Daphnia pulex: one gene and its partner. The protein of the gene in region 1 interacts with the protein of each later gene in a pairwise test. Links are inferred from orthologs where the notes say so. Each region holds a gene or a part of one and is shown on either strand. Other genes may lie near its edges. The genes, in order: CCR4-NOT transcription complex subunit 1-like and CCR4-NOT transcription complex subunit 11-like.

Region 1 (15,976 bases):
TCCGTAGAAATGGGGCCAAAAACTTGAATAAGTCGATCAACAGTTGAGCATACATCCCCCATCCTTTCTGTTGGGGAGTAATCGACAGCAATCGCCCGATGAAAACCCTATGCGAAACAATTTCTAGCCAGGCATACGCAAAGCCTGGGGCCTTCGCTGGTCTCAGAATGTGCAGTGTATGACAGAAAGCTGTCAAAACCTTTGTCAACAAAGAAACAAAAAATTAGCAAATAATTCAAGTGACTATTATATAATTTAAAGATTTACTTGGAAATTGATGGAATCAAGTACTTGTTCGGGCGCATTTAACTCAAGAAACAACATTATGAGGATACGATGATAAGCCAATTGCTGGAATTCCGCACCGCGAACTTCTTGATCTTGTAGCAGAACTCCTGCAACGATTCCTAAAACCTAAGCAGTTTGACAATTCGGCCATTAGTAGTTGAAAGTCGAAAGACAAATCATTTACGTACTTTGTTGAGGAGATTTACTTTTGTAACGCCGTTGTTTGCGTCACCAGAATGCTTAATGAGTAAAGCAATTAATCGGACATAAGCATCCAGAGTGTGAAACGCTTTACTGCGGATCAGGTCGGCAGTCGGTTCGGAAGCCAATGCTCGATAGGAGATATCAACGCAAAATTGAGTGCACAGTCGGAAAAAGCGTGTGATCAAATCATCGGTTTTCAACACTCCATGTAGACTCATTTGGGTGACGAAGTGACCGAAAGCTTTAGACGAATCCCGTCCAGCGTTAGGTAGATGATACATAGCTACCCACTCTTGCAGAAGGTATTCGGTCTTTTCGGGCAATCCATGGGGATCGTCATAATCGCGTGCCTGAGCAATTCCAGAATGAATTAAAGCCGTTGGTCCGCCTGGACCGCCAGTGGCACGATCCATTAAACCGGTTTCATGGCCAGCTCGAAGCAATTCCAAAATAGTTGCTAGACCATCAGGGGGTTGCCTATGACAGAAAAATAACATAAAATCTCAATCGATCGAATAGAAAATGCACACGGTTAAAAAATACCTAGCGTGAGCAGCGATACGTGTCAAAATTTCAATGGTGTTCGCCAAGTCGTTTTCAGTGATGACCACGGGAGCGCCAGACGCGGGTCCCTCGAGAAGATAGACATGCACCAATTGCATAGCAAAGCCAAGTGCTAATATAGAAGATCCAATGCCAGCATTAAGGGCTTGCTCTAACACAGAAGCTAGTTGCATGTCAAATTGCTGCAAGTTTATGAGATGAGCTCGCACAAGGCAGTCAAGAATATCGAGATTGTATCGAAACTCTTCTCGACATTCGGCCCAGCATCGCGTCACCTGACGATTAGTCCATTGAGGTCCTAAAAACAGGAAAAATGGGTTTAAAAAATATAACATAAACAACATCAATCAAATAATAATCATTAAAAATAATCATTTAGATTTACTGACCATAAGCCTGGGGATCTTGCAAGGCTTTCAAAACCAGCAAATGTGCGTCGCGGAAACGGACGACGGCTTCCGGATCATTTCCGGTCGTAGCGAAACTGGTTAAGCTCTCCACCAGTCCTTCGAAAGCTTTTTGAAGTAAAGTAATATGTGCTCCGTGTTCACGTGAAGAACGAGCCAAAATGACAGCTTCCAATAGAGAGCCAATCGCAACTGCTTGCGTTGAGCTGCCCAATGGCAACAGTGATTGCAAGAAACGCTCCAATTCCATGGCGACTTTTTCCAAAATGACCCCAATTTCATCGTTGGTAAACGTGGGGATCATCTTAGGCACAAGCATGGCTGCATCTCGTTCGGTGACAGGTAAGAATCCAGGGATGTATCGGGCAAACTCCTCATATACGGCAGCTTGTTGGGGTGTAACGCCACTCATTTTCAAACGAATGGGTTCCGGCATTCGATCGGCCTGAATAATAAAAGATATATTTTTGTAACGTTTAGTTTGCCAGACGTAAAATAAGAGACGTGTGTACCTGATAGGCGAAAACAGCGGGGTCGTAGTATCTCCTGCCTTCGTTTCGAGCGTGCTTGCGTAAATCGAACTCCGTGGCAAGGCGTTTATCGATTTCCGAAATGGATTTCTCTACGGCTGTCTTTTGGATAAACGCACACGCTGGTTCAACGTTATCTTGAGCGGTCAAAGTGGCTGCTTGTTCAACCAACTCCTTCTGTTGAGGGCTGGTGCTCCTCTGCAAGGCAGCAGAAAATGCTGTCTTGAGATTGTTTGCAATCGTCAATAGCAAATGATCTCGGCAGCGAATCAATGCCGTGCCTAAATATACACAATTTTAATATAAATTCTATATACATCAACAAATTTAAACGAGACATACCTGCACTGAGACTGCGAACCATGTGATGAGCAGCAGCGCGCATGCGGGTGTCATCCGCGTCGAGTGAAAAGTCTTTCTTTATGATTTGCTCACAAGTGGTCAAGGCTATTTTCATAGACCAATCAACAACTGGATGAATACACTCTTGAACAGCTCGTTCAACAGCTGGTCGGATAAGGATCCTTAAATTCGGATGCGCCGTCAACAGCGGTATGTTATTATTAACTACTAGATGCTGAGCTAGTCCGGCCAACGAAGTGACATTGATGTCCAAATAAGAAAACCTCGGATCAGGAGGGCCTTGAATTGCGTGGGCTGGTGTTGGAGTAGTTGTGCCAGGCTGGGATTGCATTTGTTGTGCAGGTGAGCCAGCAAGTTGTGGCGGTGGTGGTGGCTGCTGCTGCTGCTGTTGTTGTTGTTGTTGCTGCTGTTGTTGTTGTTGTTGCTGCTGCTGCTGCTGTTGTTGTTGTTGTTGCTGCTGCTGCTGTTGAAGTTGCTGCTGCTGCTGCTGAATGATTTGCAATTGTGGTGCTGGTTGATACATTTGCTGTAATTGCGGCTGGGACAACTGCGGTTCCAAACGTGACAGACGATTGTGATCCTTGAAGACTACTCCCGGCTTAAGATCGTGAATATCAATGGCTAGAGTTTTGCAAAGAACTTCGACTTCAAATTTAAGATTAAGTTTCAAGTCAGGCTCCTGATGTAGTTCTGCCAAAACATTCATGATTCCTAGGGTCCATGGATTGGGTGGTTTGAACACTTTGCTCTTAGCACATGACTCTAAGACTTTCGCCACGAATGGTACGACGTACAGAAGTTCTTGTTGCCCTTTGTGATACGCTTCGACTAGAATTGATTTTAAATCAATATCTCCCTGAATATTAAATGAAGTTGCAGTTTAGCAAAATTGGTACACAATTTAAAAATAAAATAATGAATTACCTGTAGAATCGGCCGGTTTTTAGATAGCATCAAAAGTCCAAGCCAATGACCAAGATTTTTCAACAGTGTGCGATCTGAGAAATTTGCTATTCCCTTGTCACTACGAAGGAGTACCTTGATATTGCGGAACGTCTCACCAATGACAAGTCGACTGAGCTCGGATAGCTTCAGTGTGTCAAGGAAGTTTGAATAGAGTGTGTGAAAATTTGGTTCAATTGAAGCTCTTTTCATCACCAGATACTGGGCTACCCAAGACCAATGTTCTTCACCCACAATGTCACGCAATTCTTCGCACTTTTGCGTCAGGTTTAATTGACTCAGATTATTAAATATGAAGCTGACTTTGTCTTGGACGCTCTCTGGTGGGTCTACAATTAAGACGTCTTTCTCCGAAGCAACCAGCAATGTGTCGATGTTGGTCGCGTTTGCTATTGACGGTCGACCACTCATAGGTGCAGCAGTAGAGGTCGTTTTACCAGCAACCGTTGTAGTTGGCGTAGTCGGAGTAGTGGTTTTGGCAGCTGTCGTCACTTGAGGTAAGACTGGACCATGAGGACGATTGGGTGGCTCGACGCCACGGGAGCCATTATCGATATACTCGATTAGATGCGGCGGGAACTCCCGAAAATGCGGAATGCTGGCCAAATGTTGACAATATTGCGGATATTCCTTCAATCTATGTCTGAACCGATCTAAGGCAGTGATCCCAAAATAGTACATCTTCGTCCCGTGTGGTTTCCGGACAGCTTCAAGTACGTAACGTAGTGCCACTCCCAGAGCCATGTAGGTGACGAGACCATGCTCCATGATTCCACCAAACAACTGAGCCGTTATGTGCAGCTCGCGATCTGGATACTGAGGGAAGAAACGATACTCTTCGAATAGATTCCTCAACATGCAGTCAAATATCTCCCGTTCACGGCGGTTAGTCGAATGTTGAAACTTCTTCAAAAGTTCAAGAACTTCATCGACTGTCAAGGTAGGCGTTGAAGGCGATTGGTTGTAAATCCGCTGGAAATAACTATTTGTCTCGTCTTCGATATCCTTTGTTACACAAACACGAATGCGTCCATTAGGTGTGGGGAAAATAAAAATAAAAAAAATATTAGCTTACTTTTGAAACAGCTTGTGGCATGTCAGCAAAAGCACTAGATACATCGCCGGTTCTTCGTTCTTGGCCTAGGTGAGGATTCATTCCTACTCGAACAGGGCCATTGACAATCGATCCAGGAGAACCAGCCGTACCAGATCCAATATTGCTCGTACCCATACTTGATTGACCGTTCCCGCTTCCACTCGCCATAGAAGATGGAATACCTATGCCCAGTGGATTTGTACTGGATGATCCAGGCATTGCTCCAGTTCCAGTTAATGAAGAAAAAATGGAGAAAGTACTTTGGTTCTGACTCGAGTTGGAATTGTTTGGCATCCCCACAACCGTTGGCTGATTGACTCCTGAAAAGCAAAACAAGTAAATAAATATTAGTTATAAGAATTGGATGAGTCGATTTCGAATGGTGTAATTCATTACCAGTTTCTAGCAAAGACATGCTAGAGAACAATTTTCCAGGCGATCCGGGGGCTGGAGTATTTCCTCCGAGTGTATTGGACCCAATATTAACAGCAAATCCAGATGAAGTTGGTGGACCTAAGCCCATGCTACTAAGGCTGGGCGAAAGACCAGTTGAGTCAACTCCAGGAGGCGGAAATAGTTGGCTGCTTAAGGTTCCTGGTGGAAATGAAACGTCAACTCCAACTCCACTGCCAGGACGGATAGGTTTCAAGACGCCAGGTGGGGGTTGCGCTCGGGCACGATTCAGGACGTTGCAATTCGCAACCATTGTATTTATAGTATCAGATAGTTCTTGAGACACATTTCCAGTCCAAACCTTATGAAGATGCAAATAGAATTTTAGTTTGATCAATTTAAAAAATCTGATTTACAACAAAGAAACATACCTGCAGGCAGGACAACATGATTGCTAGTGTGTCCGAGGGAAGTTGAGTGGGCTTTAGACCAGCTTCTTCTTTAACTTTCCCGGAGATTTGAGGACATCTCTGGTGTAGAAAGTTAACGCATGCTGCAACGAAGGTTTCCCCATGTTCACGCATTTTGTCTGTCAGCCATTTGTCGAGTTTGAGATATTCACGGCGCGATGCTAGACACGAGAGATCGATGACAAAAGGGAAGCGCTGCACATTTAGTAGCATAGATAGAGCCTTTAGGTCCTGGGCTACATCGAGAATTCTTGATAACCGCGCTTGATCGTGTTCAGCTCTCATGTACCACTCAGCCATAGCGTGCATAACCAGAGGTTTGACCAGAGGTGACTGTGCATGCCAGACATGGTGTAGAATGATGGCAGAGTTTGGATGATTGCCCAAAAAAACAGGAATAAGACTGCTGAGCAATTCTTGTCTGAGTTTAGTCATTGGTTGTGTCAGCTGAAGAAGCCCAAGGACTAAAACATCGGGACAGTGTTGAACAGGCTCCTTAAGCAATTCTTGCACCTGGCTGTAAAGCCCGCCGTTTTCCAATAAGTTGAGAAGAGTTTCAAGCAATCCCAGGCATTTCCAACTGGCAAGCTTCTTGTTATCAGGTTCAGGGGGTGATTTCAGAATTTCGACATTAATGGCGTGGTGTGGATAGTCGGCAATGCAAAAGAGATCCGTATTCCTCATTAATTGCGAAAGCAGCGATAGCTGAGCTTCAGCGTTGTTCCATGATTGATACAGCAACTCGGCTGGGAAAGTTGCGCCCTGTGTTTGCAGGCCCAATTGTAGGGCCGTCAGGAGAAGGCGCAATCCTGCTCTATCTCTTATGAGGAAACTAGGGTGGTCCAATTCTGAAACAATTTCTTTCCAGTTTAAACTTGGCACCAGCTCCGTAACAACCTGAAAATGAGCAATTTTGGATAAGAACATACAAAATAAAGAAGTAACAAACATTTCCACTACCTGGACAAATATTTCCATGTTCCATGAGGTAGGAAGGCCTTCGTCGCTTTTATCTCCTGAGCTTTCTTGCTCAGGCCATGATTGTGATGTACCATTTCTCAAGTGTCTTAATGAATGTTCGTCCAATCCGCTGTGCGTGCGAACCATGTAGATTATTGCACGAGCTACCGATGTGGGAGACAATTCGCGAAAACCGAAGGTCGTGATATTTGCACGGCATTCTTCGAGACTTGATGTGAATGGGTATCCAGTTTCAAGGATCAAATCGGCCAATGATGTTTCGACCATATTCTTGGTCAAACTGTTAGTTTCGTGTGCCATCTTATGACAAGTGTAGTCTACCCCTTGCTCCTTGTAAAGGATTGGGGCTAAAATCACAGGGACCAATTCACGAGGATAGTCACGGCGCAAGCAGCTCAATACGTCCTCTAAAAGGTCTTTGCTTATTCCAAATGTATCCGGCTCGTTGATCAATCGACTAAGAATGTAGTGAATGACTTCAGGAGACGATTCCTATACAAATACATTAGAAATTATACACGAACACATTAAACTTGCTTACGCTTTACCTGTAGTCCTCCTTCCAACGGGGCAGTATTCCTATCTTGATCAGCAAAATTTTTCAATAGTTCACTAAGTTTCTGGCGAATAATTAGTATAGACTGTGAACGCGCTTCAGGGTTGAATGTTTCTAAAAGAGCAATCCTAAGAACCACCTCTTGGCTTCGTGACAGTCGCAAAAACCGACAGAAATTGCTGATAACTGCCGAATTGCTTTTGAATTGTTGTTGAACACTTCTAGTAAAGTTGCTTCTCAATGGCTGTTCAAGGGCACTATTCAGAAGACTAGGGAATGCTGGCTGGGTGATGCAATGTCCAAAAAAATCAGCCAGAAGCTGCTCTCTTTCCTTCTCCTTGCCTGGGTTATTTGACTTGACAGATGATGAACTTTCACCGTTTCCTAACCCCACAAAGTCAACTCCAGCAAGACAGCAACAAAGAAGATGTCTTTCAGCTTCAATACCATAAATGGTAACTAATTCTTCAATGCTTTAATAAATATCAAAATTAACATGATGTTTTTCAATAAAATTGAATTTTCTAACCTATTTCTAGATTGAAGATAGTTCTTTTTGTTGAGGCTGTTGACCAGGTATTGGATCTGTGTCAGCGCCAGTGACAGTGAGTCTAGGCTCATAGTTCCATGAAAGACAGAGGGCTGGCAGGTGAAAGCTTCAAAGCCCAGGAAAATGGCCTTTGAAGCTTCCCTCTGTGGCCGACACTGACATTAGCAACCACTCACGAAACACTTTAGGTCAGCAACTGTCGAAACCTGAAAAGAAAAAAATGTTGGAAGAAACTCATTGATTGACTAAAGATACATGTTGAAATATTTTGACATCAAGAGTATCATAAAAATAATAACAGGAATTGACAATAACATTAAAAACTTAAACTAAAAACTTTGTCTATTATTTGGTAAATGGCCATTGTTTACCGCACGATCAAGCTTTGGCTTCTTGCCTAAACAAAGAAATTGTTCAAGAGGTCATTGCGATTGGACAAGTTAACATTGGCCGATTGAAATGGGGAAATTCGGATTTAATTAAAATACAACATACCAGTGATTTTTACTTTTTTTCTTAAAATGATTTATAAATTTCAGCTTGAAATGTTCAAACGAAATAATCAAACAAATTCAAACCAATATGGCTGCACGATCAACCTGAACCTGAACAAAAAAATCAGCTGGCCACAAGAAATTTGGAATGAAGATGAAGCCGAACAAATTCAGCCTATTTCGTCAACGCCTCTAGCGGTAGAGAAGAGAATTTTTAGCTTTCTTTCGGAAAAACTCAAAAAAGGTTGACAAAAATAAAGTAAGTATAAAATACAGAATTTGTTAGGCTCATTATTTGTTTTGAATATATTTTACATAAATTTTTCCGTCAGAAATTATATCTACTATGCAAAATGAAGGGATGACTCAATGTCAATGTAACTCATGCGCTGGCAGTAGTACACTTTATACACTCATTCTTTGCGACCGACGTCTTATTTTCTGAAATTTTTATATTTCAATAATAAAATTTAAAATATGAAAACATTAATACATTCCATAATATATTTACAGTGATTTTTCATTTTAATAGCTAGCGCTTTTTAAAAATTTTAATGTAATGTATAGATGGCGTCCGGAAAGGTTTTCCAGTGTGGTCACCAAAAAGTTTACGAGTACAAACACCAAGCCTGACTTATTGTGAACAAAAAAGAAAACTAAACTGCGCCATATTAAAGCTTGGCTTCCTTCATCGCAGCCCTCCAAAATCTCCCGCCGTTCCAACTGAAAAAATTTATTAACTACTAGGGCTCTACTGTCTTCAAGAAAACCATCGTCAGGGCTGTTTACAACAGCAACAATTCTAATTTTTTGCGTTCAAGAAGGGTTATTTTAAACTCTAAATTCGCAAGGATTTCAGGAAAATTAGACTGAATTTTGGTAAGGTTAAATTACTACCACAAACAAAACAGGTCACTTCCATTTCTTTTGCGACGAGGCTCATACTAAGTTCGAAAACGGTTTTTTTTTTATTCGATTAGTTGCTACAAACAGGGGTGTTATTGGCTACATGTGTTCTTCATTGGAACATAGACTGATTGGAACATTTGACAATGCTCAAAACATGTCACTGCAGCCATGTGTGTATTTTGAAAGAGGCTATTGTCGAAGAAGAACTTAATCATGAAATTCTTCTAAAGGCATGGGTTGGAATTCTGCAGAATCAAAACATCGAAGGAGAAAAATGCTGTGGTGATGCTTTTGTAGTCTGCGATAAACAGACAAATAGGATGTGATTCAAGAAGTGAAATGTTGTGCAAGTGTCAACGGAACACAGTACCAACTTAGAATTAATGCATTTTTAAAGTTAGTGTTAATACTTCGTCATCTTCATTCTTGATTATTCAATGCATGAAGCTGCCCTTTGTCCATTCAATCTCAGTTTCCACAAGCTGTATAGTTTCTTTGAAACATGATGTGTGGTGCTGGAATCTCAGTTCTTAAAATCCCATGACATGACATCATGCTTCATTTTTTAAATCTGAACCTGTTCAAAGGAACCTACTCTGGAACCCCCTCATGCAGTTTTTCCTATATTGTATGTTGTGTATGTTGGGTTACCCTTCAATTTTCAGAGGATTTTGTTGAGGTTAAAGAAAAGAAATGCGAGCTGCAGTGTACAAACCATTTTCGAAGTGGGAGCTTTCGACAAAGCAGTAGCGTTTTCTTTTATATAGCAAAGATAATTTCAGTGTTAACTTTTATTTATTTGCTCATGGGGTCGACCTGTTTTCAAAGTACCAGAGATTCTCTAGAAAGTTCAGTAATCTACAGCTTTTTCCTCCAATGAACTGTTGGATTTTTTTTTTTTTTTTCCTATTTTGCATCATTAAAATCCAGAGTGTGTGCTAGGTTTCTTGCCTGGCTGAAAAAAAGCCAAAGCCTTAATTTTCTTTTTTTTTTCTACCATTGGAGACGTCGCAAGTTTCTAAAGTTTGCTTGGCCGGGAAGGAATAAAGAATCGCAGTTGCGTCGAAAACAAATAGGCTGTTTGTGAGGCGGGTTCTTCTGAGTAAAGAAAAAAAAACGAAATCAAAATGTAACTTGATTAGCGATTGATGTAAGTCTGAAGGTGTGCGACACATTTGACGTCACGGCTTAACTGGGTTGGAAAGAGGCGTCTGAATCAAGCCATGTCCATATTTTGAAAAATTTTGAGGTTTTGAGGGTTTTTTTAAGAAACGTTTGTCCCGGTGAGAAAGTCAATGCGATAATCCATCATGGCACTCGATACAAACAACACACGTGACGCACTAACATTGTTTGTTTTTGTTGGAAATGGATTTCGTCGAAAGAAGTGGATTGATTTATTTTGATGTTATAATCTTGAGATATGTTGTTATCACTGGGTGATTACTGATCATTTTACCTTCCACTCCATTCGAATAAAGGGCAACACAGAGGCATCGCACCAGTTATAGCTGATTACGAAATAGGCCGCATGCAACTGAGTCGGCGTTAAATTCAGAAGTGACCGTCGAAGAAAAAGAAGAAGAAATCAAGAGTGAAGATGAGTGTCATTATTCGACTACAGAACTTGCCTTGGTCGGCCAACGCTGCAGATATTCGACAATTCTTCCATGGTCTATCCATACCAGAAGGGGGCGTGCATATAGTCGGGGGGCAACTAGGCGACGCGTTTATCGCATTCAGGTAACAATTCAACGACCCCAATATCTTAATAACCAACATTGATAAAGTATAACGGTGAAGCAACACGACGCTTTCAAAATATTGATCGCACATGCGTTACCAGTGTTGTTGTTTTTTCTGAAAACGAAACATTAATGTCTATCTTTCAATTTAAATTTAGTACTGACGAGGATGCGCGACAAGGAATGGCATCGGACGGTGGTATGTTGAAGGACTCGCGAGTCAAGCTGTACTTGAGTTCTCGAACGGAAATGCAAAAGATCATTGAAGAGACACGACAGCAGCACTTGGCTATGCAAGGCGCTGCTAGCGGAGGAAGCAACATGGCTCCTACGTCAGCAGTTCAGCGCCCTTTTACAGGAGGCCCCTTTGCTCCTAGTGCCGCTCCTGCCGCCCATAGCAATCCCCCTATCAGCGGACCACCTGGACTACGAGCAACATCCAGCACCAGTGGCAGCAATTTCCATATGCACATGGATCCTAGTCAGGGCCATCCAGGGGGCTATGATCATCAAATGTATCCACAACCACAAAGTCATCAACCATATAACCCAAGTCAAAACATGTTGGCAGGTGGTGGGCAAAATCCTGTTCATGCCGGTGGTTTCCCGCCTCACATGAACCCTTCACAGACTTACGCTCCCCACTTGCCGCAAGGAGGACCTCATATTCCACAGCATTTCGGTCCGCGTATGAGAGAAGTTATTGAGGAGCCTCCCTTATTACCGTATGGCGGTGGCCAGCAAATGTTGCATGGAACCGGTGGGGACATGCAAGATGTGTATGCTCACGGAGGGCCGCAACGTTTTGACCAGAATCGCCGCAATTCTCGTGACACTCCCCCAGACGTCCAGGATAGGAATCGCGATATGGGTCGTGCTGGTTACAGAAGTAAAGAGCGCAGTCGAAGAGACAGACAAGATCGCGACAAAGAAAGAGGTTCAGACATGAGTAGACGTGGAAGGAGGAGTCGCAGTCGTAGCGGAAGTCGCGGTCGTGGCCGAGATCGCCGCCGTCGAAGTCGCTCGGATAGTCGCGAGAGGGCTAGAAACTCACGGGATCGTGACCGTGATCGGAAACTCAGCAAATCAGGACTTCTTCCTACTCCGGCCGAGGAACTGGAAGCCAATCAACAAAATGAAAATGTGCCGGATACTTCTGTTCAGTTACGTTTGCTGACTGGAGACTTGACTTACCGAGACATTAGAGATTATCTTAGTGGAATTAATGTCCCAAACACATGCATCAAAATGATCAACGCATTGGATGGCTATCGATTCGGTCTGGCGTATATTCGATTCACTTCCAATGAAGACAAATTAAAAGCGCTTACCCGCCACAATGGTAAAGAAAACTTAAGTCAATTTTATTCGTGAATTAAAATGGAATTAATTTGTTGTGTATTTTTTTTTTTTTTTTTTTGTTTTAGGTACGATTCGTGGCTATCCTGTTCAAATATTCAATGTTAAGGATTCGACATTTAACCAGGCGATTGATTCTTTCTCACCTGGAATTAGTCTTGATGCCAAGAGTTTATCGAATTCTTGTCTTTCATTGAGAGACTTCCCACCGGTTGCGACAGCACAAAATGTCAAAGAAGCTTTTGGTACGATCTCGATTGGTCAGGTGCTGCCAGAGCGGAACGAGAGCGGAACCGTCACCGGACTTTGCTTTGTTGAACTCCGGAGTGAAGCCGATGCTCGCAAAGCCATCCAACTCCTGAAAGACGGTGTCATGATCTGCGGCCGTCAAGTCAAGGTGGCCTTTCTTCCCTTGGAGGAATTACATGTCTGCTCCAAAAATCTTGAACGCTTCCGTGGCGTTGTCGGCGCTGTGATGACCACCCCTCCAACTCAAACTGACAGTCCACTTTCACCTGGTCAATCTGCTCCTCATCGTCCTCCTGCAAGCAACAGACCAGGTCCCCCTTTCGTTGATCGTTCCCAAAGCGGCGGCAATGGTTCTTACGATGCGCCACCGAATCAGCGAGGTCGTCTTTTTGTCGGTCCACAACGTGTCTTCATTACGGGTTTGCCTCCATCTGCCCTGGAACGCGATATTGGCGATTTCTTCTCAGACGTTGGCGTCATTCCGCAGATCATTGAAATCGTCTACGATGAAGAACGTATGCCCGTCGGAAACGCTTATTGCCAATTTGCCAGTATGCAGGAGGCAGAGAGAGCCTTGGATAAGAATGGCGGTTTCATGGGAGGCCATACTGTCAGCGTAACTTTAGTCGAGAATCCAGATGCCGCTCCTGTTGTTAGCAGACATCCTGCCGCCGAAGAGAATAAGATAAGACGTTTCAGTCCATATCTTGATACAAATATGAACCAGTCAGATCACGGACCAAGAGGATATGGACATCCGGGACCTAGTGATCCGTACAACAGGCCGCCGATGGGCGCTGACGGAGGAAATGGATACAATCCGCAAATGGGCCCACGTTTCGGTGGTCCTCGATTCGGGGGCGGTCCTCGTTACCCTCCTGGTGGAAGCAACCGAGGAAATTTTTCTGGCAGCGGTGGGCCTGGTCCTCGCACTCGTCCTAATATTAATATGCGAATAAGAATGCCCGGAGGTCCAATTCAGAATGGAGGTGGTGGTCGAGGCGGAAGTGACGATGGATCCCCAACTCCTGGTTTCGGAGCCCCTGGCTGTGTCATCGCGCTCTCCAATGTACCTCACAAAGCCATTATTGCTGACATATTGGATTTCTTCCGTGGCTTTCAAGTCAATGAAAAATGTGTTATTCGGCGATTTGGACCCAACGGTGAACCTACTGGCGATGCTCGTGTCGCTTTTCTTACACCTGACGAAGCTGAGTTAGCTGTACGTACACTTCAAAATGAGTACTTGATGAACCGTAGGGTCAATCTGTCTATTATCTGAACAATTCTGTCTCAATTTTCTTTTCAGTTACAATTATGTCAAGGAAAATTTTCAACTGTTCATAACTTTGTTCACATTACATGATAATACATTGACAATTCAGATTCCAGCCGTTTCTGTTGCAATTTTAATTGAGAAGGGATCCAACTTACAGCGCTTAAAGTAGTAACGTATTAAATGATAAACAAGAATATCAAACCGTGATTCATGTGAAAAATCAATTAAAGTTAACCAAAATTGCTCCACCCATAAGTTAAGAGTGGGGTCGGTAGCAGACAAGGATTTTTTTTCTTTTACTTTCCCTAAGTTACACAGAAGGTAGTACTTGCCCAATTAAATATCCTTATTCTTCCATATGCATCTAACGCTGCTGTGGAATACCGTGAGAACAGTGTCATTTCTTATCTTAAGAACCGAATTTCAAAATTCCTTGACGCTAAAGTATTTATTCATTTAAGCATCTGGTTGAAAATAGGGAAGCAAAGAAAAAATGTGCTTTGGATGAATTGGATCCTATAATAACTGTATATATACGGTTAAAACAGTGCGAAAATCTATCTACATCACAAAAAAAGTAATTAACTGAGAGTCTAACATACTGGTACATAAGTTTCCTAATTGGCATTGTTTACTAAAGAAAAACAAAAGTAGACCTTTGACACATACAAAGTCAGACTCATCGATATATTTAAAAAATGGGGTAGATTATCGAAATGGTTTTACCCAACAAATAAAGGTGTTTTTATTTATTTTGTCGGCGTTTTCAAAATTGTGCAATATGGTTGGATTTATAATGATCTGAAAACTTTTCAGACCAACAGGATACATTTTTCATTATTTATTTTTTATCGAATATTTCTGTTATGGTCAAAAAAGATAATCAACTTTATCACCGCCCTCGTGACAATGCGTTATGTGCTTTATGCATGGCATGTGACCACTACGCATATATAAGGCGGAAATGTCTTAAAATTCGTAAACAGTCCTTAATATCTAATACTAATCGAAGAGTACATACTCTACAATATACTTAGATTGAATTCGTCATTTCATTTACACCTTCACAATGTATGAACAGGACTCATCATCTTTGTCATCTGGTGGAAAAGAGGGAGGCCTTCAGGATCACTCTTCTGGGTATGTTATCTTGGTAACTGTATTGTTTCTAACGGGAAAAATTTTAAAAGAGAATGATTCTATTTTGTACATCACTTATTTAGTCGATTCTCTGAGCAACTTAATCCAAGCAAGCTTGGCGAGAAAGCTCACTTGCGTGACAGCTTCCGGATGACCCTGAGCTTGAAAGACCATTTAAATAAAGAAACTTTACCTTCTCCAGACAATTACCATCCTCATCTTCTAACCATTGGATCCCGAGCAACCCTCGACGAGCTACATCTTGGCGAGGTTGATGACCAAAAAGTGAGTAATAAAATGAAAATTATTTCGTCTGAATCCATTACGGTTAAGCTATTAGCATGACAGTTAAGATTAGAATACTGTCAAATAAATTGGTAAATCCAAAAGGCGCGTAGGGAAGTTAGTGTCAATCTTTATCACGGAGTCTATGTATGCATATTCGTGTACTGTCTGGACATATTAGAGTACATCCGGGTGCATCGTTACTAAATATTCAAGCAAACAAAGTTCTCTACTAGTCTTCCTTATCGTTTGGTAGCTCGGTGGTAGGAAGTGGACTGTATTTCACTTCAAAACACGTCAAAGTGTGTGTGTAAGGCACACTGTGTCAAAACAACAATTCAAAAGCTATCACCAATCCTATACGATACAAATACAATTAAGATAATGACACAAATCACATGAACAACACTTTACGAATACCTGGAAGTGACCAGGCTTGGGTGAGTCAATACTCAATCCTGCAACGCAGGCCTTTTCAACTCAATGGGGAAGACAAATAGTGTCTAAACATACAAATTCAATTAGGTCAAGCCAGGGATAAAACATAATGTAACCAACAATCTAAAACGTGTCTCACCAATTCCACATGTGCTTCTCATGCACCTCAATTCAAGTCTACAGACAGGCAACATGAAATTCCGGGCAATCCTTATCTTTAAAATTAACAAAATATAAAAGGGGAATTCAACAAACAATTAAAACATTAAGTTACCCTTTAAAAGCCACGGAAAAGCACAAAGATTCACATCAAAGAAGAGTAAAAGTCAAGACGCAATATGTCAACTGACAGCTACAGACGATTACTAAACGGCCGTAATTTCAGGCCTAAAACTCAATGACTACAGGCCTGCCCTCTATGCAACAATTAGAGGGCCAACGGCCTAAAACAATAAAAGCGGTCTGTAACGCCATCTGGACATGCAATAAAATTAATACAATCAAATCGCGGCTCCATTCTCCCCCGAGCCGGATTCTGTCGCCTCCGTCGCTGGATCCGGCGAGTAAGCTTCTAGCAGAGCCAGCTGATTTGTCCCACGTCGCAGGATTCCGGTGGAGAATTCCACATCTGCTGCTCGGACTAATCCGTCGGCACCGGGGTAGACCTTGACGATTTTGCCGGTTCTCCAACGCCCGCGTGGAGCATTCTTCCA
Region 2 (15,458 bases), about 4.3 Mb from region 1:
GGCGGATGTGGAGAGTTTATCGGTGACGTCACCCATCTGCCGGCAGATACGCTCCATCGCCCGTTCAGTCTCTTCCAGCCGACGACGCAGTTGGTCCACCTCTTCTTCTTCTGTTAATCGCCAAAAATAAACGGATTACTATCATTTTCCTAACTCACCCTTTTTGGCAATTGAGGTCCCATGCTTGCAGGACAGCGGTTATTTCTTCTGATAACAGGAAACGTTCAACATTTCACAGCTGATATATGCTGTTGGCTAATTTATGCGGTTAGTTATGTTAAAGTAGCGCTCGTATTACTCTGGGCTTTGAGTGCGGCAAAAGCCAGGCGTAGTGAACGTTCGTCGGCGTCGTTGAGGTCGATGTCGGAACCCGTCTCGTTCTCGTCGGCGGATTCGCTTCCAGCGGGACCGGTGCCATCAAATCCAGGAGGCAGGTACCATTGACCTAAGTTGGTGTGTGAACATGCAGCAAGCTCGATGCGTATTAAAATTCAGGCCTTCATGCGATATGTACTGTACACTAATCTTTCTTTTTGTTGTTGCTGGAATTATTTGATTATTTCTTTTTTTTTTTAAAGCCTACCAATAGGTTTTCCGGCGGTATCCATTTTGGGGCTGCGTGGGATTATGACCTCCTCTACGACTTCTTCCATCTCAGACTCTTCTTCCACTTGAGCAGGCTCTGTCTTACAAATGCTCTCTTCGGAAGCCACCTCCGTTTTTCTACAAACGTCTTCCGGAATCGTCTTTAATTCTTCTACAAATAGGTACGAATTATTGAGAAATATGTCACATCAAGTAGATTAAGACATTTTTAATATTACCATCTTTTCTGGCGAAGAGTTCTGGTGTTTTCGATCGACTCCTTCTCTGCTGTTGAAGCAGTAATTGTCTCTGCTGCTCCTGCAGGATTGCGTATTCTTTGACAGTCATCTCTGAAACGGGGCCAGACACTCCGGAGCAGTACTCCTCGGAAAAGAGGAACTTTCGGTGCTCCCCATCCATGTGGAAGTCTTTGATGCGAGGTTCGCTTTCATCCTCGGTCACTGGCTTCTTGAACATGATCTATCGTCGTGAGGGAAGGAAAAAAAATATGCATTATGGCCTTTGGTTTGATTTTTTAAATTTTGATTCAAACCTTCATCATTGTATAAAGGAAGAAAACGATGATGCCAACTGTGTAAATTGGCATTAAAATGCCCATACCACCAGATCCTGGGGAGGAAGGTGAGACGATATGAGGGGCTCCGCCCATGGGTGGACGCATTCCGGGCATAGGGCCGGGCTGCCGAATTAAATTAAAGGATTATCATGGATGTGGGGGGGAAAAAAAGTATTATTTTTGTAGTATTTTTCTTTTATAAATAGAACTCTTTGCAGACGGGAAAACATATGTATCTCTTCCTTGTTATTAGTGGAGACTTGTGTGCGTCACATTTCATTAACATCTTACTTTAATTTCAAAACAGAAACTGTCTCAGACTATACGACATTCAGCAGCACGGTAATGATCGATAACGTCGACCAAAACAGACTTGCCGTGTCAAACATTCGTCTTGGACCGTTTAGAATGGGTTTTTAGGGCCACCTAGAGAAAAAATTCACGGCCACAGGGGAACGTCGACGTCAGCACAACTGAGAAACCATCAGACGCCGACTAATTTTAGCCCGAAAGCCCCCGCGTCCGCCTTCTCGACGGCCACGAGCGTTCCTCCGACTTTCTCTCTCGCAACTTCCCAATGCATCGGTACGACGGGAAGGACTATTTATTCACTCGTTCTATATATAATAAACAGCTGTCGCGAGGGTCCAAGCGCCGGAACTTCCATTCCGTCCCTACCACCCAAACCACCAATAATTCGTCACTCGCCCATTCATCCCAGCAACTATTTTAATAAGACTAATCTTCGGCGGATTTTCATGTTAAACGACGAGTGAACTGCACAGAGTTTCATCTGGGGACGGAATTAAAGCTTTCGAAGAACAGCAGTCTGGAAACCTTGAAAATGCTCTCCTGTGTTTCTTTTTGGAACTCAGTCAACAGTCGTTGACGAAGGGAACCGTCAAGACGCCCAATTTTGTTGCTAGTGGTGGTGATGTGGAACAGAAAAAAGAAAGAACAGCGGAACAATCTTTTCCGGAGACGACGAGTCATCGCGGTCAACAGCCAGTACACGCGCCCAGCATTGAGACGGGAAAAAAAAAACACAACCCCGACAAAACGACACTTTTGAATTTGTGTGCATGTATATTTACAATACCTTGGCCTCTTTCGCGATGGTACGGGTGGGTGGTATGACGCGTCCTTTTTCGCGGAGTGCCGGATGCATCATGTCCGGATGCAAATGCGGGGGTCGCTCCGGTCGCATATGTCCTGCAACGAAAAACATCAGCCATTCAATTGCATTAGCCTTGATGGATCTTTAAAGCCTATATTACAATTTAGTTTAGTCTGTTAGTCGGATGAACAGTTAAAGGATTGCGAAAATTTGCTTTTGTTAGTAGTGATGAAGAGTCAATTTTTGGTTCGAATAATTATTTGTTTTCCGGTTTAATGTGTAAAGTGAGTGAACGACGATTTGAATGAAGTTTGATTTTGTCATTTGTGGGGTATGTGATGGATAAGGGGGCGGAGTGGGACGGAATCGGGAGCCTGTCTTACGTGGATATAAAACATCAGAAGGTCTGTGGTAGCTCTTCTTAGCCCTGACTAGGTTCTCGTCGATGCCGAAGTTGATTTCCAGACAGCTGGTGAGGTTCTGGGCGCGGACACGGCCGTGGAATTTGCTGCTCAGCCGACGATCGACTACGGCGCCGTCCACGTCCGATTTGACAACATCTTCCAAGTCGATCCCACATTTGTTCATCAGTTCGTGATGGCAGAGGGAGAGCGACCGTTCTGGCGGAATGCCTTCCCGTTTCTTCAACACCTGGCTGCACAACTCGTTCAGGAAGGCCGCCGAGCTGGCATCGCTCTCAAACACCACACCGCAGCATAGAGCACCTGCTCGATGATGATGACACCATCACACAACTGTTTGTTTGTTTGTTTTTGCCACACGATATGTATAGACGGACGGGATCAAACGCTAGACAGGTTGGGTCCAAGCCATCAATATTGATTCTAAAATTAGCTTAATAATATTCTATTTGATCCTGCAAGAATCCTTCCTTTTGTTTCAGTAGTTTGAAAACACTTTGAAAATTCAGAATCCGATCGGTGGTGGCCTATCCGGTGGCTGGCAAGTTTCCTACATTTCTTGAGCACAATCTAATTTGAGGTTTCCCCCTTTCTTTATCCGTCCATACTGCTGTTATCCATGCTCCGAAGACTTTCTCCAAATCGCACAAATATCTAGGTATAGCCGATGACTGGACGTTTGAATATTTGTAAATTATTTCTATCGCATATTGGCAGATGTTTATCAACTGCATGTACAATTGAAAAAAGAGGTCAACATTTGTTATTTTAACATTATGTAAAGCTGCTAGCTTATCCCGTGTCTTGGGCGTTTTTTGGCACCTGGAACATCGGCGCCAAGGATGACCTCGATTGTGCTACTTGTTTTGTAAAGCTATCGATCGGCGCTGCTGCTGCTGAGTGATGACACCGTTCGCAAAGACTCGTCCAGAAACCCTTGCGAGAGCATAGCATGTAATTATCGGGCGTAAGGCTTCATCGGGAAATTTTTGGTTTGGAAAATCTATACGTCGTCAAAATGTCAAGGTTCTGCTAGCATAGAGGACGTCAAAAGATTGAGAAAACAAAAATAAATAAGAGAGAGAGAGAGTCGTGTGCTGGCGGGGTGGAAACTGATGTAACGACTGACGGCTGCTCAGGGCAAAGACAGATGAATGAGGCTAGACCCCTCTCACGAAATTAGACAACATTTGAACATTCCACAAGCCTGGTCGATTATGGTTGAATTTCACGATGTTACTTCCGGACTTTTGATTGCAGTGCATCAATCTTAATTAAACGTGGTGGAAGAGAATAGATATATGTATAATACAAAGGCTAAAAAGATCGATACATACCTGACGGATCACGCTCTTTGATTATAGGAGGTTGCTGCTCTATAGTTGTCGGTGCCACAGGACCCTGGAACATGGGGTAGAAGATTTTTGGCCAAAGGATGGCGAAACAGCCGATCACAATGGCCAAAACCACTAGCGTTTTGCCTTTCGAGAACTCCGGCGCCATTTTTTCTTAGACTCTGTCACTCTCTCTCTTTCTCCCACACGGAAGCTACTGAGAGCGGTTAGTAGAGAGGGGACAGAATAATGATTATACGGCAGGAGCGTTTGTGCTTCGTAGAGATTTCTTCGCCCTTTTTTGTATCCAGCAGTTGTGGCATCGATCAACGCGACTGATCCTCGGAGAGAACTGCGCACGACTATATTCAAGCGGGGGAAGCGGCAGCTCTCAGTTTCCCTCTTGGTACCGGAGGGCGGATCCATCCGCGTCGACGCAGAACACGTTTGCTCAACTCTCTCAAGTATATAAATATCACGTTCCCCTTTCTCTGTACTCTTCCTGCTCCCGTTCTTCGCAATGTTGGTTTCCTTTCAAAGAAATTAAGAATGATAAATAAATTAGTATTCACCAGTAAGCTTGGTTTCAGTATCTCTTGTAATTTACCTGAGTTGGAACACTAGTCAATATTGAATTATCATTGATCTGTTGGTTTTGTTGGTTTGTTTCTTCCTTTCGATGGCTTCAACCAATTTCCATTGTATTGCAACGTCGCTTCGACTCTAGGATAGTGCGACTTTCAAAATAAGAACAAGAAGTAACATATTATTATAAAAATATTAAAAGATTTCCTTACTAAAATTATGCAACTTCTAACTAGTGAAATATCTACGTGCGTGTCATTATTTTAATCTTTTGATTACATTTTAAGCAGAAAAAAGTAGGTTGAAAAACCGATAAAATCATGTAAATATCTGGAGGAGCGGGAGGAGCCAGTCGAATTCTGTACAAGGTGAATTGGACGAGAACTAGAAGCATACTAGAAGACTAGGAAGTCTTTCATTGAACACAGTACAAGATATTCAAGTGATATTATAAACTTATCTCTACATGACCACAAACAGTAACATTGAACATTTTGAACTATTGCTGATAAACGCTTTCTTACCATCCTGTGCATGTGTTTTTTCACTGTAGTCGGAACTCTCAGGCATTTCAGCAGGACCGATTTCCCCGTGTGTGAGATTTTCATTTTTTGGTTTCAGTTGTTTCACGCCTGGTTTTCGTCTGCTTGCTTGCTGTTCTTCTTGCCACAAAATCAAAATAAGTAAACACTAAAAATAAATAATTAAATACATTTAGACGCTAACAGCAAAACGAGCAAATTCATAAATGAATGGAGTCCAATAAAAAAGCGCAAAAATTGTAAATAACGGGCAAATTACCCGCTTTGTGTTATCATTTTGGCTTGGCAACCTTGCATTCATTCAATGAAAATAATTAAATAACAAATAAAGAAAATGTCGGCATTGTCTGTCAAGGATTTGAATCAATTGCTTACGTAATTATACTTTAAGAATAACATATTTATTCGTTTTAATGGTCTAGGTATCTAATGTCTTAATTTTGAAGTATCTTAGATGCCGAGAATGTCGCTAACCAGAGTGTCGAAGCCTTGGCTTCTCAGTTGGGGGTCTTTAATAAACAAGAATACTTTAAAGGTATTATAAAAACCACTCGATTTTAGAAAAAAAATACGTTAACTAACAATTGAAAATCAAATAGTTGGAAATGCATTAGTTATGCTACTTCAGAATGCTGATCTGCTTCCTTCACCATCACAACGTCTGGCTGCAGTGTTATTGCTACATGAGCTTTTCAAACCAGATGCTCAGAATTTCCATCCATTCTCCTCAATTTTTGTGCAACTTCTTGTAAGTAAATATTATGTTGTTGTACATTCACTAGTAAAGTTATATTTTAAAAATCATTTTAAGGCTGATGAACCTCTACAAACCAAGAGACCAGATTCATATAGACTACTACCGAAACTCAGTCCTCCAGAAAAGATTTATTTATCTCATCTCATTACTAATCCTCAAAAAGAAGTATGAAGTGTTTTAAAATGTCATAGATTTTATTTGCTTAATTGAACTGCTATTGCAGATGTACAAAAAAACTCTCCGACAAATATTGAATTTTGACTCTACCAATTCAATGGCTGATATTTCAGCCCTTCAAATAAGTGTGACAGAGCGCCTTTCAGAGTACACTTTAGCAAGCAAAAGCAGAATACCTGCTGTTCTTTCAATGCCTGATGTTCGTCCCGGCTTTGACCCTATACTTCCGGATAGTAGTGCAATCAAGAAGACAGCAGAAGCTCTAATTACTGGTCCCAACGCCGCTATACAAGAATCTGTGGGTCCCGAGTTTGTGAGGTTAGCTCCTCCTCTATTTTGTCCGGACGAACTCGTCTGGATCGATCCAATTGGGGAAGTCGACCACATGATTGCTTACGACACTACAGTTTGCATACCTAGAGGTGCCGGCTCGGAAGCTCGGCGATTAATTTCGCAAGCTTTCACCGGTTCTTTGACTTTGCTACAACAAAACAGATTGCTAAGCGAATTAGAGCGCGATTCTCGTCTAGTCTATCACGTAGGAATCACTCCTAACAAAGTAAGCTATTTTGATTGTTGGTTTTGCATTTTCGCATTTGAATAATGCTTATTTTCGACGCAGCTACCTGCCTTGGTAGAAAACAATCCACTCATCGCAATCGAGGTGCTACTTCGACTGATGCAGTCTTCCCAAATAACGGAATATCTGAGCGTGCTGGTTAATATGGAAATGTCTCTGCATTCGATGGAAGTAGTCAACCGATTAACGACGGCTGTTGAGTTGCCAACTGAATTTGTCCATCTGTACATTTCCAACTGCATATCAACGTGCGAAACTATCAAAGATCGTTACATGCAGAATCGTTTAGTCCGACTTGTGTGCGTCTTCTTGCAGTCCCTCATTCGCAATAAGATTATCAACGTCCAAGTAAAGAACAAATCATGTCGTGTTAAGTTTGTAACGTTTCTTTACAAAATGTCTAATTTTTCATCTTCTTAAGGAGCTGTTTATCGAAGTGCAGGCATTCTGTATAGGTTTCAGTCGAATTCGCGAAGCTGCTGCCTTGTTTCGTCTCCTCAAACAACTCGACAGCGGTGATCAGAGTGGACTCAACAGCACTTCATCCATCGCATCCTTTCCTGGGCTGTCCTCACTCTCGACATCTTCCTTCAATCCTCAGGCATCACCTCTGGCATCAACTGCCAAAGGCAAAGGCGAATGAAAGTCGTTATTATTATTGTTGGATGTTGCATCGTATGTTCGCGTCTCAACTATTGAAACAACAGGCTTATTGATACAGTATATGCTATGGGAATCGAGGGTGAAGAGTTTTGAATATGATATATACAATTCACGAATTGTTTGCTCTTTGATCGTTTGAACCTTTCTAGAAAAAATTAGAGTGTGTACAAATTCGTCGTAAGAAGTTAAGGGTGGGTAAGGTTTTCGGTTTTAATTTTAGTTTTAAGCAGAGAATAATAACGGGAGTTAAATTAGGACACAATAAAAACCAACGAAGTGCAAATCTAGTTCATCATGTCAACTTCAAGATTATCGCTTCTTGTAACATTATTATGCATTTTGCCATTTTCCCCTAACGTGTGGTCGATTGCACAAAATCATGAAAAACAGATAATGAAAGCTACAAAGTACAAAGGGATGTACTACCTGAGCTAATGAGTGAATGTGAGTAGGAGATCGCTGATGAAAATTGAGGTCAATGATGAAATTGTAAGTTTCGAAAGTTATAGGTTGACAAATGAAAATCTAGCTGGCAATCGGTGAAAAAGTTGCCTCTACAAAAAATGTTAAGCAACTCATTTGGAGATCGGATGGATCGATCGTTTATCAAAATTTCAGCATTCACTTGTTTACTGACTCTGATTTACAAAACCAGCTTTACGGACAATTTTCTAAATTAGTTCATCTAGTATATAAAAGCTCCAACTTTTGAAAGAAAAAGTATAGTTCTGGTTGAACAATCCTCACGGAAGAACACAGTTGTATTTCTATTTTAAAAGCAAATCTCAACCAGCTACAGTATCTGCGCTTATTTGCATTCTAATGGAAGTATGGAACTAACTAACCACATCCTACTGTATTACATGATAATCAATAATCTTTTCTTTTAGAAAAATATCAGCAAAATGTTAAGAAGGATGGACAACAATATAATGGCTCAAAAGGTGATTTTGCTATGCGTTTCATCAATTTTATTTGTTTTGATGTCGGTTGATAGTCAATGCAAAGTCCGATTTTCCGAATTGGAACACTGGAGAAGGCGGCGTCAAATGGCTCCCCAACTGCGACTTTCCCGGACATGATATTGGCAACCGACCCAGTGCGGGAGACCGGTGTGGTCGCCTCTGCATTGACAACCCTAACTGTAATCACTTTAGTCACTACAATGGAATCTGTTACATGAAAAATATAGCGGATATATGGACCCCCCGTAAACCAGCCAACGGAGTCGTATGCGGTTTCCTCACTTGTCACAGTTCATACAGCCCGCTTTCAGGACATTATTGCCAGATCAAGGGGTAAAGTTGTTAAGTCGACGGTTTTCGGCGAAAAATAATTTTCTACAGTTCTACTTCTACATTATTTGGCACCCTAAATTTTTATCTTGCAAATTATACGGTACTATGTTTGTTAAAAATATACTCTCTTAACAACACTTGAAAAATTCAAATTATCAAATTTTCTCTATTCTTAATTTCTTACAGACGTCGAATATTTTTACAGGGCTCTTTCGGATCTGTTTTCTTTTGCCGTTTTATTTGGCAACGCAGCATGGCGCCGTTCCTTTTTAGCGCGAGAACGAGGAGAGAGGGAGAATGGGACGAATGGGAGGGAGGAGGGCGTACGAAAAAAAGGGGACCCAGGTTTCCTCTTCTCCCCAGGGACCGACCCCTTTCTTCCCCACTCTATTCATCCCTTCCTTGACTGTCCTTCCTTTCGTACTCATTTCACCCCAACCATGCAATGGCAACAGACGACGAATGTCGAATGGCATTCAGTATTAGATGTTATACCAATGAAAAAGTAATAGTCGAGCAAAAAATCGTGCGCAGTTTACGCCGATGCGCACCACAGCGGCCGATAGCAGAACTAAGATTGTTATTACGCTTGACCACATATGTACTACACACAGTCAAGATCATTTGTTCGACAAGCAGTCGGTTCTCGTCTCGTCTAAAGTGGCGTACATAGGCGGTCAAGCGTAATAACAATCTTAGTTCTGCTATCGGCCGCTGTGGTGCGCATCGGCGTAAACTGCGCACGACTTTTTGGCATGTCTACTACTTTTTCATGGTATAACATCTATACCATCCCATTACCACGACGGTCGCCTGGGAGAGATGTCGTGCGGCAGCGTCCCTTGTGGATTGATTTAAAGGGCCGAAACGAATTTGTGATTTTTATGTCCTTTGCCGATTTACTCGGGTCTTTTTGCTCAGCGGGTCATACGCGCTTTACTTTAGTTGACATAGTCTAAGTCGCTCTGCTTCCTCCTAAAAATATTTAATTGAAATTAGCTCTTACATTTTTCCATCCAAATTTTCATTTTTTTTTGTACTCATCCTGGACTGATAGTACTTTCCTATTTAAAAACGGTGACGTCGCTTCCTCAATTTCATGGGTAATTTCATGGCGATCAGGTCAAAATCAATGCCCTATTCGGGGTTTTCCTCCTCAGTGAGTTTTTTTTTTCAACAAATCTACTTCGTTCGGTGTAAGGTTTCCTCTATAAAAAGTTGGATTGAGGTGGCACTGCCACCGTCGACGAAGGAACTTATAATCGAAGTCAACCTGGTTTGGGAAAACTTCCAGGGCAATCTTCTTGAAATTAATTAAGTCAAAAATATAGACTTATGAATCTTTGAACCACTTTGGAGGATTTCAATTCACTTGAAAATATATCCGTTTGTCGAGACTTTCAAATTGGCTTATCATCAGGGTTTTGTTTTTTGGTTATACCTGCAGCCGTCCTTTTAGTCAAATTCGTAGCTATATATGTGTTCACGTAGACATTGCTTTTTCTCCTATTCTCTCCAATTCTTGCAAGACAGCCTTTTCCAGTTCAGCTTCCGTCTTCGGAAACATTTTTAGCCTCTTTGGATAGTCATTAACAACCCCCATACCAATGTAGTCATACAAGCTACTCATCTCTGACTTGTCTACAGCCGTGCAATTCATTTGTTTCTGTTCAAGGAACGTACTCAGTTCCAATTTCAGATGATTAAACTTATCATTCACCAAAGCAGCTATGCGATTATTCCTCACATCTACAGCTTCCTGCAGGGCACACTAAAAATAATGACAATAATGAAGGTTACAGCTTACAGAGCTGCTTAACAGACAATCACATAGTACTACACTACATAATTCAAATATACACGCAGTAGATTGTCTTTACCACAATTACCTCCTCATCTGTGTCCTGATTATCTGTATCCTCTTCATCGGTATATTCATCATCTGTATGAACTGTATCCTCCTCCTTTTCGCAGTTCTCCTTTTCAAGGATATTCAGAGTACTACCAGAACAACCCGGAAGAACATCTAATCCTTGGAAACCATCAATTTAACTGTTGAGATTTAATTCCAAAGAATTATTCCTCTTTGTTCTAAATCAGAAAAAAATTAGACCATAGATGAGATGAAAGAAATGGAAACAAAATACCAGGCAGCACAAGTCCAACACACTTACAAGAATTCACTTCACTTTAGACATGCCAAAAAGTTGTGCGCAGTTTACGCCGATGTGCACCACAGCGGCCGATAGGTTAACTAAGATTGTTATTACGCTTGACCGCCTATGTACCACATGAGACGAGACGAGAACCGACTGCTTGTCGAACAACGTGAGGAAACAAAGGGGCGACGTTCGTTTGTCGTTGTAAAAACAATGTGTGGTTGAGTCTGAGTGGGTCTGTAGAGTATAAAAAGGAAAGGTGTGGGCTGAAGAGGTTTCTTTTTTTTGGTATTTTAACACCAATTTGGTGGTTTTGAAAAAAAGTTGGTGTGCAAATGGTTTAGGTGTTTTTAGTGAATTTTTGTGTTTAGGTTTTAGTTTTTCTTAAAACGTGGATCCTGCAAAAAAGCCATTATGACAGCACATATTTTTGGTTTGTTCTTAGGACGTCTGATGTTGCCTACCCTCCTCCCCCCTCTACGGCCGTGACGTCGTATTTGAACGGCCCTTTTGTCGAGATTTTCAAGTTGGCTTATCATGGTTTTTTTTTTGTTTACCTGCAACCGTCTTTTTAGTCGAATTCGTATATATTTATGTCTTCTCGTAGACATTGCAGTTTCCCCGCGGCTATTCCCTCCAATTCTTGCAAGACAGCCTTTTCCAGTTCAGTTTCCGTCTTCGGAAACATTTTCAGCCTCTTTGGATATATATATTGTAATCCTCAACCTCAAACGTGCAAGTTTTTCTTTTGATTGCGTCCAATGTTTTTTTACTTGACATGGTCTAGTTTTCTCCAACTCTATTGTATATTTGTTTTATAAACCGAATATTTTATCCCAATCCATCAACCCTTTATTATAAAAAGGGGGCTGTCATTTTTTTTTCACTGCGTTTTATTCAAATGCACCCACCGGGGGGGGGGGGCATTTGCTAAAGGGGGCGATCGTCCATTAGCACAGCAAGTTCTTTCACAATCCTTTTTAATGCTGCTGTAAGCACTTGCGGATTGCTTTAAAGGGCCCAAACGACTTTGTGATTTAATGTCCTATGCCGATTTATTGGGCGGCACTGGCTGCTCAAGAGGTTTGGTTTGCATTACTATGCGCCTAGAAGGGGTTACAAGAGCGGTAGAAGGCATAGCGGCTCTACAGAGATAAGTCTCCATTTGGGACTCAGTTCTCCCAGGAAACCTCAACTTCATCTCATCCCAGACTATACGCGGGACTTTTTGCTCAGTGGATTATTACGTGCTGTACTCAAATTGACGTAGTCTAAGTCGCTCTGCTTACACCGATAAATATTTGTTAGAGATTATAGAAAGTAACTATATATAATGGCATTGTTTTCAAATTCTTACCTTTTTCCATCCACATTTTCAGTTTTTTGTACTTATCCTGGACTGATAGCACTTTCCTATTTGAAACCGGTGATGTCGCTTCCTCAATTTCAGTTTTTGGGCAATTTCATTGTGATCAGGTCAAAATCAATGCCCTATTCGGGGTTTTCCTCCTCAGTGAGTTTTTTCAACAAATCTACTTCGTTCGGTCGGTGTAAGGTTTCCTCTTTCGAAAGTTGGATGGAGGTGGCACTGCCACCGTCGACGAGAAGGAACATATAATCGAAGTCAACCTGGTTTGAACCTTCTTGGCAATCTCCTTTCCCGGAGATTAATTAAGTCAAAATTATGGACTTGTGGATCTTTAAACCACTTTGGGGGATTTAAATTCACTTCCGATGTCCGTTTGTCCAGATTTTCAAGTTGGCTTATCAGGGTTTTGTTCTTTTGTTATATCTGCAAGGCTGCAACCGTCCTTTTAGTCAAATTCGTATAGATGTCTTCTCGTAGACATTGCAGTTTCCCCGCGGCTATTCCCTCCAATTCTTGCAAGACAGCCTTTTCCAGTTCAGTTTCCGTCTTCGGAAACATTTTCAGCCTCTTTGGATATATATATTGTAATCCTCAACCTCAAACGTGCAAGTTTTTGTTTTGATTGCGTCCAATGTTTTTTACTTGACATGGTCTAGTTTTCTCCAACTCTATTGTATATTTGTTTTATGAGCCGAATCTTTTATCCCAATCCAGCAGCCCTTTATTATAAAAAGGGGGCTGTCATTTTTTTCACTGCGTTTTATTCAAATGCACCCACCGGGGGGGGGGGCATTTGCTAAAGGAGGCGATCGTCCATACGCCAAAATCCTACAGTTCTGCAATCTAAAATTATTCACCAATTAAATAAGGTAAAGAGAAATAGAAAACAAAGTCACCAATGACGAAAACAATGATGATGGTGACATAACTCCAATATACGTTCCAGAACGAGTTTGTACTTTGTAGAGGAAGTGACTAAGGCACACAGGCACCTGTACACCCCCTTTTTTTGTGAACACAAAAATTAATTTAGTATTTCGTTGAATTTGTTTATTGAATACCTCACATTTTAAAATAATGTTTTTTTTATATTTTTTTCACAGATGCTGAAGAAGCTATTGGATAAATACAATGAAACGAGAAATGAAATATAAATCATTTAAAAACAAATCAAAAACATTGTCTGTTTCATTGCCGGCGAGAAATTATCTGAAATGTTTGGATTTCATTTCTATAATTCACAAAAATTGTAAAAAAACTTCTGCCAAAGATACGAGGTATGTTTAGCTAGAATTTAATTTTCAACAAATTAACTAAAATTATTTTTAAAAAATTTAGAATATCTCTATCTTTAGAAAGCTCTTAATAGAAACCACAGAAATATCTACAATGGTAGAAAAAACAAAAGTCGCAGAAAAAATCCTCGGTATTAGTGAAATTTTAATTTTTAAAATACAAATAATAAAAAAAAAATTATATTACAGATGAAATCAACGAATAAAGCCTGATCATTTCCATTCTGGTGGAAAGTTGCAAGGGGTTCGACACTCAAAAAAAGGACTAGAAAATGGGAAAATTTGATGCGCGGGAATCAGTTCTACAAATAAAAGAGAAAGATGCTTGAACCGCCCCAATACGATATAGTCCAAATGAAAAAAAGGGGAAGTGGCGACAAAATATTTATTTTCGTCACTTTGGGAAGTAAGAGGTAAACAAGTGAAAAAAAGTGAAAAAAGTGAAAAAAATGAATCTTTTCGGAAAAAGTAGAATTTTCGCTTATTTGGTTTTTTTCAGTTGAAGGTAGACTACTTTGTCGTGCGGTTCTGAACACCTGCATCCTCGATCTAGTGCCAAGAGTGACGAAAATGGGGGGAAACTGTGTTTTTCTATTCTGCATACAGAATTTGACATAAATGTTATCCCCAAAATCAAGTGCATATTATTAAAGCTCGATTATAGTTCTTTTCGTACTTTGGCTTGAATAAATCCCGATTGTGCTGAATTAGAACATATTGTAAGAACAATCCTTGCTGATATAGATTACGTTGCTGACTTATCCGAAGCTGAGAGAATCAGCATTTTTTGAGAAATGTTTGCAAAAATTCCTTCGAAGTTTAGTTTTATGCCAGGAGAAAAAGCTTTAATTGCTGATGTTGTTGACACTGCTCAACAAATAATAGCGCGAAGTCAAGAAAACTTTTCCTATGACATTTTACCGTCATCAGGTCGCAAAAGAAAGAGAGCGTCTACCTTCAGTTCATCAGTCTTCAGTCAGGGAGAAAAAAATAACAGTGCTGATGGCTTGGCTGATATGCCAATGAATGGAGGATTACAAGAAGTTAGCCCTACTAATGTTCTTCTAATAGATTCTGTGATGCGAGTCGTAAGTTGTGCCAATATTTCAGATGGCCAAACGTTACGTTACAAGGAACACTTGAAGAAACACAATAAACTACTACGCGAAAACGACACCTGCTACATATCGACACTGGCTACCCCGACACTGGCTACTTCACACTGGCTACCCATACGGCCGACACTGGCTACCCCGACACTGGCTACCCGACACTGCCCACCTAGCACGAGTTCTCCCAGATAGTGAACAAATCACGAACACGTCAAAAATCTCCGCACAACTTTTTTCCATCGTTGTGTGAGTGAACAAATCACTCACAGTTCACTCCCAAAATTGATTTTTTTCTTATTGCTCACAAATTACGCACAAATACGCACAACTAAAATTTTATAGTTAAATTGAAATTTCTCACTTGTAATAAAACTGGTTGATCCAATCACGCACAAATAACAACTGTTTTCTATGAATTGATTATTTATTTAAATTCACATTATTTTATTTTCCATGAGCAATGGAAAAGCAACGTAACGCACACCTTCCTCTTCAACCTCTTCACCACATGCATTATAAACATTCGGTACAAGAAACACTTTATACAAAATGGATTCTACTGGCCATACTTGTAAGGAAGCAGATAGGAAATCGACATATTTGATAGATAATATAGAGTTAGAATCACAAGGTGCCATGAAAAACGGAGTTTCTTGTTCAAATATGGATCCAACGATGGAAATAGATCCGTCACCACCACGAATAATGTTTTCGATGACGACGACAGCAGTTGATTTTTCGTCAAGTTCCAGTACGACATTATTATTAGGAGGGCGTATTGTGATTCTCCAACTCTTGTAGACTAAAGTCTGGAACTTTTCAATGTCATCATGCCCTTCTAACAAAGGGCCATTTTCCTGAAGACATGATACTATTGGAACACAGG

The links.
Region 2: the proteins of CCR4-NOT transcription complex subunit 1-like (region 1) and CCR4-NOT transcription complex subunit 11-like interact in binary tests that used the Homo sapiens proteins (3 or more experiments, as listed by UniProt). The link is inferred for Daphnia pulex from reciprocal best matches to the Homo sapiens genes CNOT1 and CNOT11.

The regions. Positions count from the first base shown.
Region 1 is NC_060019.1:12,269,414-12,285,389, reverse strand, and holds the start of CCR4-NOT transcription complex subunit 1-like, read right to left. Parts: upstream 8,022-15,976; 5' UTR 7,861-8,021; intron 7,572-7,860; 5' UTR 7,437-7,571; coding exon 7,345-7,436; intron 7,289-7,344; coding exon 6,808-7,288; intron 6,752-6,807; coding exon 6,239-6,751; intron 6,176-6,238; coding exon 5,240-6,175; intron 5,170-5,239; coding exon 4,812-5,169; intron 4,736-4,811; coding exon 4,395-4,735; intron 4,325-4,394; coding exon 3,281-4,324; intron 3,213-3,280; coding exon 2,336-3,212; intron 2,275-2,335; coding exon 1,976-2,274; intron 1,909-1,975; coding exon 1,446-1,908; intron 1,355-1,445; coding exon 1,036-1,354; intron 970-1,035; coding exon 477-969; intron 415-476; coding exon 268-414; intron 200-267; coding exon 1-199. Other genes in the region: RNA-binding protein 12-like, read left to right, coding at 10,369-10,511, 10,672-11,855, 11,941-13,403; uncharacterized protein LOC124191350, read right to left, coding at 15,764-15,976; bumetanide-sensitive sodium-(potassium)-chloride cotransporter-like, read left to right, coding at 14,470-14,540, 14,624-14,825.
Region 2 is NC_060019.1:7,963,945-7,979,402, reverse strand, and holds CCR4-NOT transcription complex subunit 11-like, read left to right. Parts: upstream 1-5,428; 5' UTR 5,429-5,496; coding exon 5,497-5,537; intron 5,538-5,608; coding exon 5,609-5,697; intron 5,698-5,761; coding exon 5,762-5,910; intron 5,911-5,973; coding exon 5,974-6,084; intron 6,085-6,142; coding exon 6,143-6,655; intron 6,656-6,718; coding exon 6,719-7,024; intron 7,025-7,097; coding exon 7,098-7,319; 3' UTR 7,320-7,460; downstream 7,461-15,458. Other genes in the region: titin-like, read right to left, coding at 1-110, 299-445, 584-757, 825-1,065, 1,139-1,285, 2,262-2,374, 2,663-3,004, 4,039-4,204. UniProt on the Homo sapiens protein: Component of the CCR4-NOT complex which is one of the major cellular mRNA deadenylases and is linked to various cellular processes including bulk mRNA degradation, miRNA-mediated repression, translational repression during translational initiation and general transcription regulation.